Solanum lycopersicum: one gene and its partners. The protein of the gene in region 2 binds, or shares a complex with, the protein of the main gene of each other region. Links are inferred from orthologs where the notes say so. Each region holds a gene or a part of one and is shown on either strand. Other genes may lie near its edges.

Region 1 (4,161 bases), on a different chromosome or scaffold from region 2:
CAAAATTCAACTATATTTTGTCTCAACACAAAAAATGAGGGTGTCTTTATCCTGGTCTACCCACAAGTCATCAACTTTCCTTCCTTCAACCACTGCCATCTTGTTGTCTCAACCATATTTCTAGTCTCTACACAGAATACCAATGGAGATACCCCTTGCTCCTGATATATCCTAACTTTCATCGACCTGCCTGCTTTCAACCACTGGCATTATGTTGTTTCTCTATTGGAATGGCCCGTTTCATAAATATCCATTTCTTTCTAAACATGAAGGATACATAAGAGACCATTCATAAACTCTTATTCTTTCTTCCGATGATAAAGCCATAATCTATCCTCAAAAGACTCACAGCATTTCATGAGTTTTACTTTCATTACGACTAGTGAAGGCAAAATAGTGAGTAAAGTGAGGCATTCACAAAATCTTGAGTCGATAACGAAACAAAACACAACTGATTTGTCACAGTTGAGAAGATCTACCACAATCCAGTAGAAGCATTAGGAAAATAACAATCCATTGGAAACATTAAGAAAGGAAGTTCAGAGAAAGTTGGATGCTTTGTTATTTGTAATCATATATTCTGAAACAAGGTCTTTCTACATGTCTACTCAAGTCATATCTTAGTTTCTTTATATTGTATTTTTCTGTTTCTTTGTCTCTTTTCTAAGGTTTTGGAGTGTCACAGACACAATAATCTCCTGAGGTAGTAGTATTATTGCGCTAACAATAGAGAATTTCAGGTGTTGTATTTTTGGTAGTGTAGTCAAGTTAGGGTCGGCAGTCTTTAAAAATATAACAGGCTTGGATTCTAAAATTACCAACTTAATGTTTCTAATTCATTAGAGACGAACCAAAAAGAGTTTTTTTAAGGTTTGGGGGAGGAGAACAACTTGAACACTTAAAAGTTGGAAGGATCATACAATGACAAACACCTAGACAGGCAACAATTGCATTGAAGCCTCAAGAGTAGGGGACAATCGATGAGCAATATGCCGAAGAATTAGCAGCATACTTAACATAAGATGGAGGAGGAAACAGAATTCAAGAAAAATAAAATAATTAAGAAACATACTGGAGAGCATCAGTAGCCACATCTGCAATAAACTTCTGAGTAGCAACTGCCACCAACCTTATTCTGCATATCCAAAGGAAAAACTCAATACAACAACACAGTATTAAAAACTGATAACATAAGATAAACCAGCCATCACTGTCAAACAAAACATCAAATGCTACAATATTAAAATTTACAACTTGTAAAAAGGTAAATACCAATCCAATTCACAGATATATAAATTTTACTTGAATTTACTGCTAAACCAGATAAATAGAAAACGATCAAAACAAAAACGGAACTAGAGAATACTGCCGCTTAGTCACTGTTTGATTGCTACGAGTATAAAGATATTCAGCTAATTGCTCATCTAATTTTCATAAAAATGGGTATTGCCTTGCGGCTCCACCAACAACCCACCAAGATGTTATATTATTGTTTACTGATGCAGGTTTACAGGTGGATACTGGACTGGCAAATATTGGTGTTGCAGCTCTGGAAAGCCTTGGAAAACTGATTCATGCCCATGTTTCCCCAATCCAGTTTGCGGGAAAAGCTATGACTGTTGAAGCACTTGCTTTAAGAGTGGCTCTTGAACGTACAATCAGGAACAATTGGAAGGATGTGAGAATCCTATTGGAAGCAAAGAGTGTTATTGATTATGATTCAGGAAAAAGTTAACTACCTCATGGGAGATAGAGGTGACTTGTGAAGACATTTGGAAGCTAAGAGCTTGCTTGATCATGTAGACTTTGTTCATATTCCGAGAAGTCTAAACAAAACTAGCACATAATTCAGCTAAGTTTTCTATTACTTCGTTGAAGGAAATATCTTGGGAGGACATCCTCCCAAGCTGGATTTTACATCATTATATGGGCACCTTTGCCCAATTTATTTGTTTGCTGCAGTAACATAATATCTCCCTTTGAACCCCCAGGGCTTAGCTCACTTGGCAAAAGTGTAGAGCTTTCGCTACGCCAAGCAAAATAAACGTAGGTTGAGGAGCGCGTTCATCGTATTCGAGTTTAAAGACTACGGTTAGCTCAAGACAGAGGATAAACCTAGTGAAAATAGTTCTAGATAAACACACGAAAATCATATCTTCCTTATGAGCAATCCAAACAATTTTTCTATAACTAATCTAAGCAGGCTAAATTGCAGAAACATCAACATAAGAATGGGAAGAAAATACATACAATCGAACATCAGGACATTGAAATCCACTTTTACCCAAGTAATGCTCCACCAATTCATCAGGAATCTGATCAAAAGCGTTAACCTACATAAATAAAACATAAAATTGATCTCTTCAGTAAGAAAAAGGGCAAAAAGTAGCTCACAGTGGGAGTATAGTCCATCAAGGAAGCAAGGAAATCGGCTAGAACAGCATCATCCTCGTGTCTTCCTTCACTTGTTTGTTGACCTTGACTTTGGTTCATCTTCACCGTCGAAACAGAGTCAACGGAGGATCGGCGGTGGTCGGAGTTTCAATTTCGCCGGAGGAAAATTGGGGAAGATTTGTGCCTTTTTACTTTGAGAAAAAAATCGGAAGAAGAAACTGAAGAAAAATATTCTAGTAATAGGTAAGTAAAATTACTATGGTTACGATAATTTAAAATATTTAAAAATATATATAAAAATTATTTTTAAACTCACATATTGAAAAAGTAATATTATTTTCCTTCTAGGATATAGAAATATTATAATTTTGATTATTTTTTAAAATTCAAAATTGTTTCTCCACAATTGTGCAAAAAAGAAAAAAAATGAGAAAAGGCCTAAGATAGAGGAGAATTGTATTTTTGTTATGTGAAATTCGTTCGCGAAGAGGGGCATATATATTTACCTAGCTAACGATAATATTTCGTAAAAAAAAAAATTATATTTTATTTTATTTTTTAAATTTGATAGTTCATAACATTTAAAAAAATTATAAAATAAAAATATAATTAAATTATTTTATTCTCTATCAAACCAAACGCAATTAAAATTTACATTGAAGTATATATATATATATATATACACACACTCATAATCACTTATGTTAGCCATTTTATTCTTCTCTATCATAGAAGATTAAAATGAATTATATTATTATTGAGTAAACAATTTGGATATTATTTGATAACTAATTTAATTACAATACAATTGAGTAACTTAATTGGTACTTGAATGATTTGGTAAGCACGATTATAAATCATGTTTCACAAATATGACTAATATCACATTTGATTTGCATCATTTGAAAGTTATATTAGATAAATATAATTTATAAATTACATATTAATAGTAACTCAATTTATAGATTAACTATATATCATATTCGATAGATACGACCTATAAATTGCATGAATAAGCATGATTTTTAAATCATATTTAATTACTATAAATTATCAAATATAATTAGTAAATCACAATAGATATAAAATCGCAAACGTCACATATGCACATACATTCGAGATTCTTCAAATAATTCATTTTCTAAATCGATATATAATTGATTCTACTCTTTTCATTCATTATATTAAAAATATATCATCAATTTTACTTTTTTCATTGAAAAATTTAAAAACGATCTATTTATTTTTTAGCAAAATGACTCTTATGATTATCGTTAGCTAATAAAACACGTATCAAATCGAAGTAACAATTTCCGTGAAAACATATTACTCGAAAACGAAAATTTTTTCTAACTCTTTGTTATCTCAACCAAAATTGAGTACAATTTCCCGAATCTCAAAATTGAAAAATTAAACCAAAAATGGAAGAACTCAAAAAAAAAAATAGAGAAAATTGCTCTGTTTTTTTTTTTTCAAAGCTCAGTAGCTTCATCAATGGCCGATTTGAGATTCTTCATGAGCTTGATCCATAGCTTCATCTTTCGCCTTCTCATCATCAAATTCTTCAGTTTCCTTTTCCAATTTCTTCTCAATTTTATCACCAGCACCAAACGAATTACCTCTACTCGAAATAGGCGTAGCCAAAAAAGTTGGATTCAAATCTCCAGCCATTATCACAACTATTTTCTCCTCAAAAACCGGCGACGCCTTGAAAACATCACCGGTCGATTTCTCGCCGTCGCCGGATTCTACATCGCCGTTTTCTCT
Region 2 (4,135 bases):
AAAAACACCAAAAAGTCCTGTCCTATCTTGAAAATTGCAACACCAAAAATTGAACCATATACCACACAATAGATATTAAAAGATGGCAAAATTGCACTTCAAAAGCTGCACCATCCTCCAAAAATAAACCAAAATTAGCAAGCTGGCAAACGTTGAAACTATAGATGTTACTCCCTTGGTCCAACAATAGTTGTCTACTATTGACTTAGCACACCCTTAAGAAACAATAAATAATAGCGGTAACATTACTATTTTATCCTTTGACTTTATTAAATTTAATGCTCTGGAAAATGTGTTAGATGATAAATAGTATTTAATAACAAAGGACACAAAAGGTAAATTATCTCTTGATTTTCTAAACTGGACCCTTGCTTTTGCTAGCAAGGGGTTTCGAACTTGAAACCTCCAAAATGGAAGCCCCAAGCCCAAACCACTGCCCCCCCCCCCAAAGGGTGTTTTCGCTTTTGGTGAACTTAAAGGACCAAAATTGTTCAAGAGTATTAAGGGACCAACTTGAACCTACCAAACATATGGAACCATTTTCATCACTTTTTCATCTGGCTTGTATAATCACACAACCTAACTTGTATGAAGACGGCACGCTTGTCATGCTTATGTTATGAAGAGCTATTTTTGGCTCGCTATTATGATCGCAATGGTAGAAGACAGTACTAAATCCATCACTGGTGCTACATTTATAGCATAAGTCAATGAACTAGAGTTGAGAATCACAAATATGAGAACTCAATTTTGAAGACCTTGTCACTGCCAGAAAGACAGCAGCAGAAGTATTAATAGGTCAAGGTGCACATCACTAATACATTATGTTAAGGATTAAAAAGGGCTAAATAAAAGAGAAAATGAAAGCCTTTCCTTTCCATTTATGTTTATTTCCTATGGTGTTACTGGTGGCAGACCTATTATTAGTGCATTACATGTCATGAGGAGCTATGCATCATGATACTGCATAAACTACTTCTCATGTTACTGTTAGCACAAGTCAGGGGACCAACCTTATACAGATCCAGTGAACTATAGGCCCATGACCGAAGTTTGCTATATTCTTCTTGGTATCGTTGGGGACTGGTTTCAAATCTGAAAACATAAAAATTTAGATTCAGAATGATATCAAAGATGCATGCTAAGAAAATAACCAGAAAGTATGCGTTATACAGCTGTCAAGACTTCCAGCTAGTGTAAGGCGGTGTGAAAACGGAGCCATAACATCTATCCATCTATATCTGTAATATTCTAAAAGTAGGAAGCTCCAAAGTGTAATGTCACTAATAGAATGTAAAATAACACCAAAGCTTCCTCCATACCAAACACACAATTATTGTTGCTTCCCTTCTTGAAACAACTAATGAAGCCTCAATCCTAAACAGTTTGAGACTTTGGGTCAGCTCATAAATCCTCCTCTACATCCCCTCTATTTATTTATTTATTTTGAAATAGGTAACTTAAATCCGCACAAAAGAACTCATCAGACTGATGAGGAGGAATTTACAAACCCCAGGGGATGCCATCATACTCAAAATCCAAAAACAAACTTTCAAAAATTTACAGTTGGCCTATAATCTCCACTAAGCTATCTATTGTCCCCACTAAATCTTGCTTACACCAAAAAAATATAATACTAAGAGATCTCATCTTGATCTTCTGTGTGCTGCTACCCTTCCCTTCATAATATCTCTCATTCCTTTTTTTTTCATAACGTCCACCAGATACAAACAGGGATATTCTTCCGCCAAATTTCCTTTGATCCTCTCTTTCCAATTCCTAGACAGTGTGCTAGTACCTCAAAAGTGGTTCTGGGCATTGTCAATGCTATTTAGAACCGCAACCTCATGGCTAAGCACTCTGCATTTAAAATACAGGAGAAGAGGACAATTGATTCAAAAAGAACCTATTTCACCAAGTAGTGCTGATTTCTCCCTCTTTAGAATGGGTCCAGTAATTAAATTTATGTTATCTACAGAGAACAGATTATTTTTGTCTGACGGTTCAGGGTCAATTTGGGCATTTGCAGAAATGCTACTGGAGGGTGCAGAAAAACTGCTTCAATTATATTGCTCCTGCTTTTCTTCCAACAACCAAGTCACCTCTCAACCCTAAACTAGTTTTCAGATCTTCTGTACTCAATCCTTCTCTACTTAAACGTGTTTCATTGAAATTAAACTATCTTTCAAGGTAAATTGATTTTAGAACTTAATCCTCTTAGCCAAACAGTAATTTTTACATCAAATTAAGTGGAAAAAAGAAACTTACTCAGAGAAAGAAAGGATTTTTTTGGTTAAGTCGGGGTCAATCTGAGAATTTGCTGAGTTGTTGTTATTATGGATTGAAGAAGAACTGTTTTTATTCACTTGCTGTTCTTCTTGAAAAGCAATCTCCGTTTGCTTGAAACCCTTCTTCTTCAAATACGCTACGACTGCTTTCTCAATCTCTTCTTCATCCATGGCGAGAAATGGTAAGATTTTGAGAATTGGGAAGAAGAAGAAGAAAACACCTGGGGTTTATAGGACCGAGAATTTTGATTTGGGGTTTCTGGAGGGACTTAATACGACGTCGTCGTCACTTTGTTTATGGAAGGTGTTTTGTTTTATATTTTTTTGGTTAGGCTCCAATTTCTCTCTTAATCACAAGATTTGCCCTTTAAATGGACCCATATGCTTAGTGAAGAATAAGTTTTTTAAGGACATAATATATTATTTTGTGAGAAATTTATTTATCTTCGGAAGCAAAAATCAAAGATTATCACAACAAACTAGAGTCAAAAGATGCAAACTTTTTTATGCTAATGTGAACCGGTGAGACAATAGTATATAATCATGTATATTTGAAATACTACTAAGAATTAATATTTAAAAAATGTATTAATATGGCAGATCTAAGGTGGGGTGTCACAGTATATGTTATTTGCAGATAATATAATTTTGATTGGTGAGACTAGCGACGGAGTTAACGTTCACATAGAGATTTATAAATAGACTTTACAGTGAATGATTCGGGCTGAGGACATGACTAAAATTGGATACTCAAAGTACAAATTTAACAATGTGGTGCATGAGGCTGATGTGGAGAAGTGAGACTTGATATACTAGTCATCCAAAAGAGAGATAGTTTCAAGTATTTTGGATGTATTATCTAAAAACGGAAAGATTGACAAGTAACACCCAACGTATTGATATGAGATTGAGAAAGTGGAAGTTTTATTTTCAGAGTCTTATGTGATAAGAAGGCGTCACCTAGCCTTAAATGTAAATTTCATCAAGTGATGGTAACATGAACTGTGCTTATAGGGTGGATTGTTGGCTAATCAGAAACTCCTCACATTCAAAAAAAAAAAAATGATTAATCTTTTAAATTCTATTGACCAAAAAAGAATGTCAATTATTATTCCATTCTCTTTCTTTTGTATTTGCATTCAACGCCACGTCGTATATAAATCATTTACTTATTTGATCTTTTTATCTGTTTTATTTTAACTATAATCAAATATAATAAAATAAATATTTATTACAAATACTTGTAGTCTAAGAAAACATTTAGAGAGAGAGAAAAAAGAGCAATAATCAAATTAACAAAAATTACTATGATAATAATGTTATATATTGTTACATTTTAAATGGCAGAAAAACTATCGAATGTATTTAAAAGGAGTAAATCTTGCGGCAATCAAAGAACCACCATTTCCGTAGAAAAAGATTGGTGGAAAAAGAAAAGAGATAAACCTTTGATTTGTCCTGCATGATAGATTTAATTTGATCTTTTCGGCGGCTGCGACATGCTTCTTCTCTCCAAATTTTCAACTGAAATAGAAACACAAGAAATTGTTCAAAAGGGGTAGACCTGAATCGAAACCTGAATGAAGGATGATGATAACAAATGCAAGAAGGCAACCTGAATCAAAACCTAAATGAAAAAAATGTTGATGTAGACGAAACAGCTGTATTTTTTTGGTAAAGTTTGACTATAAAAGGTAAAATGGTAATTAATTTAGAAGTTTAAATATCATAAATTCTTACTTAAATCAAATAAGGACTTTATTTAATTCAAAAGTCTTAAATATGATGATGATAATTAAACAATAATTATTTGAGGAAATGTATAAAATGATTGTTTATTATAAAAG
Region 3 (4,212 bases), on a different chromosome or scaffold from region 2:
TATTAATACCAGGTAGAGCGCTGCTGATTATAGGATAGAAAAATATTCTAAACTGAGCTCACGTAAAAACGAGGTGCAGACCCTAGATAGGAAGGCCTGGAGGTCGAGCATTAGAGTAGAAATTTAGTAGGTAGCCGCGTGTGGTCGCCCGTTTGGTGGGAGAGGCAATGCCATATCCTCTTCTCCTTATTAGTAGTAGTATTTAGTAACTCGCATAGTTTCTTATTTTTCTATGTGTTTCTACTATTTGTTGCTTCATTTTGCTATGTGTCCTGATATTTTGTTTTCATGTTTTCTTATTGCAACCCTTCAATGAATAGCTTCCCTTTTAAGCCAGGGATGTATCCAAACAACCTCTCTATCCCACAAAGGTAGGGGTAGGGTCTCCGTGCATCTTACCCTCCCAGAACCCACTTATGGGATTATACTAGGTATATTGTTGTTTAACAAGGAGGTGCAGAAGAAAAACTTTAGCATAACAAGTATATATATAACTGCAATGTACAATTCCCATTTTATTGGCCTTGACCACAATATGGTTTCTTCCATACTAAATTAGTTATTCTCCATATTGCCCTTACTTAACAATGCTGATACAAAATGTCAATTTATTATTTAACAGCTACTATATTTCCTACTGGTGTTTATCTGCAGTAAATCAAGCATATCAAGCTAGATGAGATCTGTTCACAGATCTCAATAGAAGCATTGACCTGCTGGTTATATATACATACTTTTTGTTAAAAAAAAAATGATACAGCAGATATACTGAGGGAATACAGCATACAAAAGAGAGTTAAATTAATAGTCTGAGTAACAAATCAACAAGGAAAGAAAGGAAGGTGAGAGGAAGGGATAGAAATCATCAGAAAAGGAGTTATTCTTTTATGCAAATTGATCAGTAGGCAGGTCCAACCACCCACATAAGCTATCACAGAACAGGATAATAGCATACAATCTTGACAATCTTCTGTGAATGGAATCCTTGTAAACAGAAAGAGTTCGAGATATTTGAAAACATAAACTGACAAACTTACTGCATCTTCGCCAGTTTGTCAGGATCACTACTTGATGAGAGTTTTCCTAACTGCACATCCATGCTTTCTTCCTCTTCCTCCTCATCTTCCTCTTTGGGTTTGCTAATTGGACCAGCAGTACTAACAGAGACTGATGTAGCTTTAGATGTTGAAGGTTTTTCACGAGAATCGGTATTAACATCGTCACCTTCATTCATATTAACACCAACTGCACCTTGATCTTGGCCTTCATTCTCATCGGTTCCAGCAGGGGATTCAGGGGGTGAGTCATCCTGCTCCTCAAAAGTAGCCTCAAAAGGATCCTTAGATCGCTTCATAGAATTCGCTGCACCAGAATGTTTAGATTCAAGTAAATTATTCACCATGCTAATCATTCATCCATTTTGATTGAGATATACCAACTTCCAACACAATAATGTGATATGTTCAAGACAATTTTTTAGGGAGGCATGGTAAATTATAACTAGATTGATTTGGACCTCACAAAATGGCCACACTCTCCAACCAGGTCGATTGATAAATTAATGGAGTTGAACTGATGCAGCTCAGATATTCTCAAATCAAATGATCATTGCAAGGATGAAAAAGATTAAAGCATTCGGAAGGAAGGAAAGTAAAGATAAGGATGAAGCAACAATGTCAAAGAAACATTGTTGAAGTTTGAACTAGAAGCTACACCATCCTTCAATATGTCTAGATTAAGATAAAAATGAAATATAGAAGACAAATACTGTACTATTTCATGTTATCAGTTTCAACAAAAAAACAATGTACTATTTCAAGTGAGACCAAAAGGTTAAGTAGTTGTCTACTTGCGCTGGTACATTTTTTGTTATATAACTGCAGTTATTGCCCTGTTAAATTTTCATCAACGAAGCAATGATAAGATATCCTCTCTTCTTTTTCATAACCGATAGGATCCTGCAGTCTGTTGTGGTGTATAATGGGCTCATTCCTTTACCCTTCCCACTTAAATACCAGGCTTTTCCAACAAAAGGGTTTGAACACGTAACTTACGCCTAACCACCACATCACTCAATAACCAAAGCCCTGGTGGGTATACAAAGACATCCTCCCGGTACATCCTAAGTCACAAAACTAAGACTATAAGGAGTCGTTTGGTATGATGGATAAGGAATAACAATTCCGAGACAAAATGCAGGACTATTTTATCCTGCATCTGGTTAGGGAAATTAGTTAGTCCCGAGATTGTTTATCCCATCATATATATGGTAGGATAACTTTGTCTATCCCATTCCCTGTACCAAACAACCCTTAAAGATTCAAGCTTTGCATGTGATTTAACCTAAAAACATTTCCAAAACTAAAGTGTGAACAGCTATAGCATGAAACAGGCCTCCCCTAATGGAATGGATCGGTTCTGCCAACGAAATAAACACGGAACAAATCTAAGGTATGTGAACAGCTGTAGCATGAAATAGGTCATAAACGGAAAGATTTCCAGCTGATTTCAAACAATTGAACTGCACGAAAGCTAGCCCGGACACCACGATTATCCAAAAAAATTGTTCATTGCAATATTAGGCAAAATCATAATTGATCAATCCAAATAGAAAGAAAAATACCTGGCGAGCCAAATTCTGTGATACTGATCTCTCACCAAAGATAATTCCGGCGAGCGTGCCGGCGGCCGGTCTGAAGAAATTTGACGGGTCGATTTCGCTGATGTGGTTGTGGGTTTAAATTGGATTAGCTCATGGGTCGGGTCGGGTCGGATTTGATTGGATTCATGAATTAGGGCAGTTCAAGCGGACGGAAACAGATAATCCCAATAAAAAAAGGTTATTGCCTCTGATAATAAATTATTGATTTAGCGGTTTTAATAACGATTTTGATTTTTTTTAATTAGTGAGATATTAGTTTTAATGATTTGAAATTATTTTTTTTAATGGATTAACTAATAACTTGATTGTAAATTAAAGAATTATATTTATACAATTTAGTAGATAATGTCCTTGATTTACTATATAAATTTATCTTTTTTATTTTTGAGTGTCTCAAATTCTCGATTATTCAACAGTGATGTGATATGTGAACTTACATGTCCACTCATTTTGTTCGTCACAGTATTTTTAAGTGATTATTTTAAATCAAATCTTAACGGTTAAACAAATTACCAAATCAATAACAGTTGATAATTAATAAATCGATAACTGATAAGTTAATATTTTAATAGTTCTAAAATAATTTAGCACATCTCTAAATCAATAACCAATAAACCTCAAATCAAACGAAATCGATACGCAACCCTTCATTTACCTTCTTGCAATTGTGGCCAAACAAATCACAGATGGTTTTTTAGTAATGGGCCTAGGATTTTAACCAAATTATTTTCATTTTGGCCCATATACAAGGGAGAGCAAATTAAATGAATATCACATACTTTAAAAACATTTTTAGTTTTGTTCTTTTATGGTTAGTAATTAGAATTTTAATATTTCTTTGACTAAGTACAAAGAATTTTGTTGACCAATTAATCAAATCAAGAAATTTATAAAAGAAAATCACTAAAAGTCTAAAACAAGACTATTGTAATAAATTTTTTTCTTTTGAAAGTTTTCAATGCTAAATGCTATATAAGGTTGTGTACGATAAAAACTAAGAAACACTCTAAAATTCTTAAAGGTTTTATTATTTTACAAAAAGATGGACAAAACTTCGATTATGGCACTTTTTGTTGTTGCTTTCTTGATTGCTTCTTGTGGTTAGTCTATTTTGTTTTCCTCTTATCATTTTTCCTTCAGATCAGTTGATTTTGTAGTTCTTTACTTTGTCAATACGTATTATAAAATGTTAACAATTGTTTTATAACTTTTTAGATGTGGCGACAGGCATGAGAAAATGTAGCACAACAGATGATTGTAACAATCATGAAAATATGTTTCCAAAATGTATTTGTGTTGATGGAACATGTGTATGCAGCTCACTCAACGCACATTCTATTGATCATGAAGATAGTGGTTCAAGTGGCAAGTATTAACCTTGAAAAAATTATATTAAAAATGTCTCATTTGATATTGCTTACATGATGAAACATTTGCAATAAAATATTTAGTTGGTTGCATCATGATATGAATTTTTTTTTGTTTCTTTTACTATTTTAGATCTTGAGTTATTTTCTCCGTTTAATTTATTTATCGTGATTATTATTAAA
Region 4 (2,176 bases), about 7.0 Mb from region 2:
GAATATCCTACTACCCACTAAAAAGTACTCATTTGTTGTACCAAATTTGAAAATGATAAAAACAGACACATGGCTAAAAATGGGGTACAAAAAACCTGCAGAAGTACCAAAATGAAAATTCAAGCTACTTCCAATGTATGCTCCACACAAAGAAAAACTATTGCCACTCGGAATTTTATTTAGAACGACAAAAAAATTGGACACTGGTCCTATTTCCTGTGAATAGATTGAGAACCAACATGCAAGCACTCAGACCAAACAATCAATTTACAGTCTTGTTTTCTCAAATTGTAACTAACACATCATCATTATTTGTATAGCTGTGTGGTCGGATGTCTTTTTTCTGATCCAAACATTAATCCCTACAATTAAATTACCAAGTACTTCACCATTGTACTCCGCCATTCATGCTGAAAAATGTGTTTAGTACAAGAGACTTGTCCTCCATATTCTTCCATGGAAGAGAAACTGAACTAGCAGATACACAATAAAAGAAAACAGTACAAGTAATTAACAGCAACATCATATAGGAAACAAATTCATTATACAAGGGGTCTAGTGCAGAGATGCTAGCATTTCCAAAATGCAAGCAAAATCACTTAAAGAGACCAAACATCATTCAGCTTAAATTACCAGAGTAATCGGTTTTCCACAGTAGTAACACTCACCTGAATATTTCACCTACCTTAGCAGCAATTTGCAGAATATCCAATCGCCTCTATCAAAACATTCAACATATCAAAAAAGGTTCTGAACTAGAAAACCCCACCCCTTACGCAACCCCAAGTAGCAGAAAGAAAGAAGAGAAGGTGGATATTGCTCAAATGGAAGTGAGTTAACAGCCTACCTCTTTTAAGTCACAGAGAGTATATCTTGAAATGGAACTAACTAAAAAACCCTCCCACCACAAATTTTAGTACATAAAATGCTCGACTGGAACTCAATAAGGACGTGAACGATTTCCACCATGAAACTGTCTATCTGGGCCGGAACCTCCACCGTCTCTGTAGTTATCCCTGCGCCCGCCACCACCACCACCATAACCTCCGCGACCGCCACGGCTGTCAAAGTATAGACAGACATGAGCATAAGAGATATATTTACTATACAGGTTAGCACAGGGAGTCGTAAGTTCAGCATACACAAAAGGTCCCCCATCCCATTTATAAATTTAACCCAACAAATAACAACATAACCAGTGCAATCCCACAAGAGGGTCTAGGAGGGTAGTAGACTACGCAGACCTTACCCTATCTCGTAGAAATAGAGGGGTGGTTTCCGATATACCCTCAGCTTAAATAAAGCCAGCCAAATATATCATTAACCCGATGGAACTATATAATATAAAAGAAACAACATATTCTTCATTCAATCCAATAGATTAAACATTTTCTAAACCTTGAGCCAATAAAATATATAAACAGTTCTAAATGGCAATAGAAAGAACATAGGGCAGGAAGAATGCATAGGGTGTCAATCAGCAAGTGGATTTTCAAGTAGCAAAAATGGACATCGATTAAAAACACAATTACAACATACAACATGCAAAAAAAATTACAAAAACACTAATTCTTGAAAGCACTATTGAAATATGTAACTTTACAGTTTTACATTGAAATATACATAGATGATGCTGATGAATATATTTTTGCAGGATAAAGAAAAAATGTTTACTAATGAAGCCACACAATTATGATTAACCGGGTTCCCATGCACCTCATAAAGGACAAATGTAGTACCAAGTTATAGAGATGAAATTTGATTGCTTAATTCGCTTTTCTCTGGGAACAAATCAATGTATCAATGATGTTAACAATTTACTGAAAATAATTATTGAAATTAAACTTCAATACAGACACCCTATGCGATCAAGTATGAATTTTAGGCATGCAACTTTAGTATGAAATTTGGCACAGCAATTAGAGTCAACATCAGATGCAAGAACAACTCTGATCATCTACTTGATAAACAACCAAAACTCTGGAGAATTCATAAAAATAACCATACATCCACTATCTAGTTAAACACACTTGCTAACTCTGCATACATTCCACAGCATAACCACTAAGACATGTTGTGAGTTGACATAAACTGTGAATTGTAGCACAACTGGAGGTAAAATGCAATGGAGTAGAAAGAGTATGCAGTAATTTAAGAAGGCTCACCCAGAACCAAA

The links.
Region 1: transcription initiation factor TFIID subunit 5 (region 2) and transcription initiation factor TFIID subunit 10 share a complex: the UniProt entries of both Arabidopsis thaliana proteins name them as parts of the TFIID complex. The link is inferred for Solanum lycopersicum from reciprocal best matches to the Arabidopsis thaliana genes TAF5 and TAFII15.
Region 3: transcription initiation factor TFIID subunit 5 (region 2) and transcription initiation factor TFIID subunit 11 share a complex: the UniProt entries of both Arabidopsis thaliana proteins name them as parts of the TFIID complex. The link is inferred for Solanum lycopersicum from reciprocal best matches to the Arabidopsis thaliana genes TAF5 and TAF11.
Region 4: transcription initiation factor TFIID subunit 5 (region 2) and transcription initiation factor TFIID subunit 15b share a complex: the UniProt entries of both Arabidopsis thaliana proteins name them as parts of the TFIID complex. The link is inferred for Solanum lycopersicum from reciprocal best matches to the Arabidopsis thaliana genes TAF5 and TAF15b.

Annotation. Positions count from the first base shown.
Region 1 is NC_090811.1:67,585,526-67,589,686, forward strand, and holds the start of transcription initiation factor TFIID subunit 10, read right to left. Parts: upstream 2,866-4,161; 5' UTR 2,494-2,865; coding exon 2,395-2,493; intron 2,316-2,394; coding exon 2,251-2,315; intron 1,136-2,250; coding exon 1,073-1,135; intron 1-1,072. Other genes in the region: protein GLUTAMINE DUMPER 2, read right to left, coding at 3,886-4,161. UniProt on the Arabidopsis thaliana protein: TAFs are components of the transcription factor IID (TFIID) complex that is essential for mediating regulation of RNA polymerase transcription.
Region 2 is NC_090805.1:43,576,749-43,580,883, reverse strand, and holds the start of transcription initiation factor TFIID subunit 5, read right to left. Parts: upstream 2,810-4,135; 5' UTR 2,460-2,809; coding exon 2,269-2,459; intron 1,096-2,268; coding exon 1,014-1,095; intron 1-1,013. UniProt on the Arabidopsis thaliana protein: TAFs are components of the transcription factor IID (TFIID) complex that is essential for mediating regulation of RNA polymerase transcription.
Region 3 is NC_090804.1:5,061,202-5,065,413, forward strand, and holds the start of transcription initiation factor TFIID subunit 11, read right to left. Parts: upstream 2,832-4,212; 5' UTR 2,624-2,831; intron 1,363-2,623; 5' UTR 1,355-1,362; coding exon 1,038-1,354; intron 1-1,037. UniProt on the Arabidopsis thaliana protein: TAFs are components of the transcription factor IID (TFIID) complex that is essential for mediating regulation of RNA polymerase transcription.
Region 4 is NC_090805.1:50,539,615-50,541,790, reverse strand, and holds the end of transcription initiation factor TFIID subunit 15b, read right to left. Parts: coding exon 2,166-2,176; intron 1,062-2,165; coding exon 941-1,061; 3' UTR 508-940; downstream 1-507. UniProt on the Arabidopsis thaliana protein: TAFs are components of the transcription factor IID (TFIID) complex that is essential for mediating regulation of RNA polymerase transcription.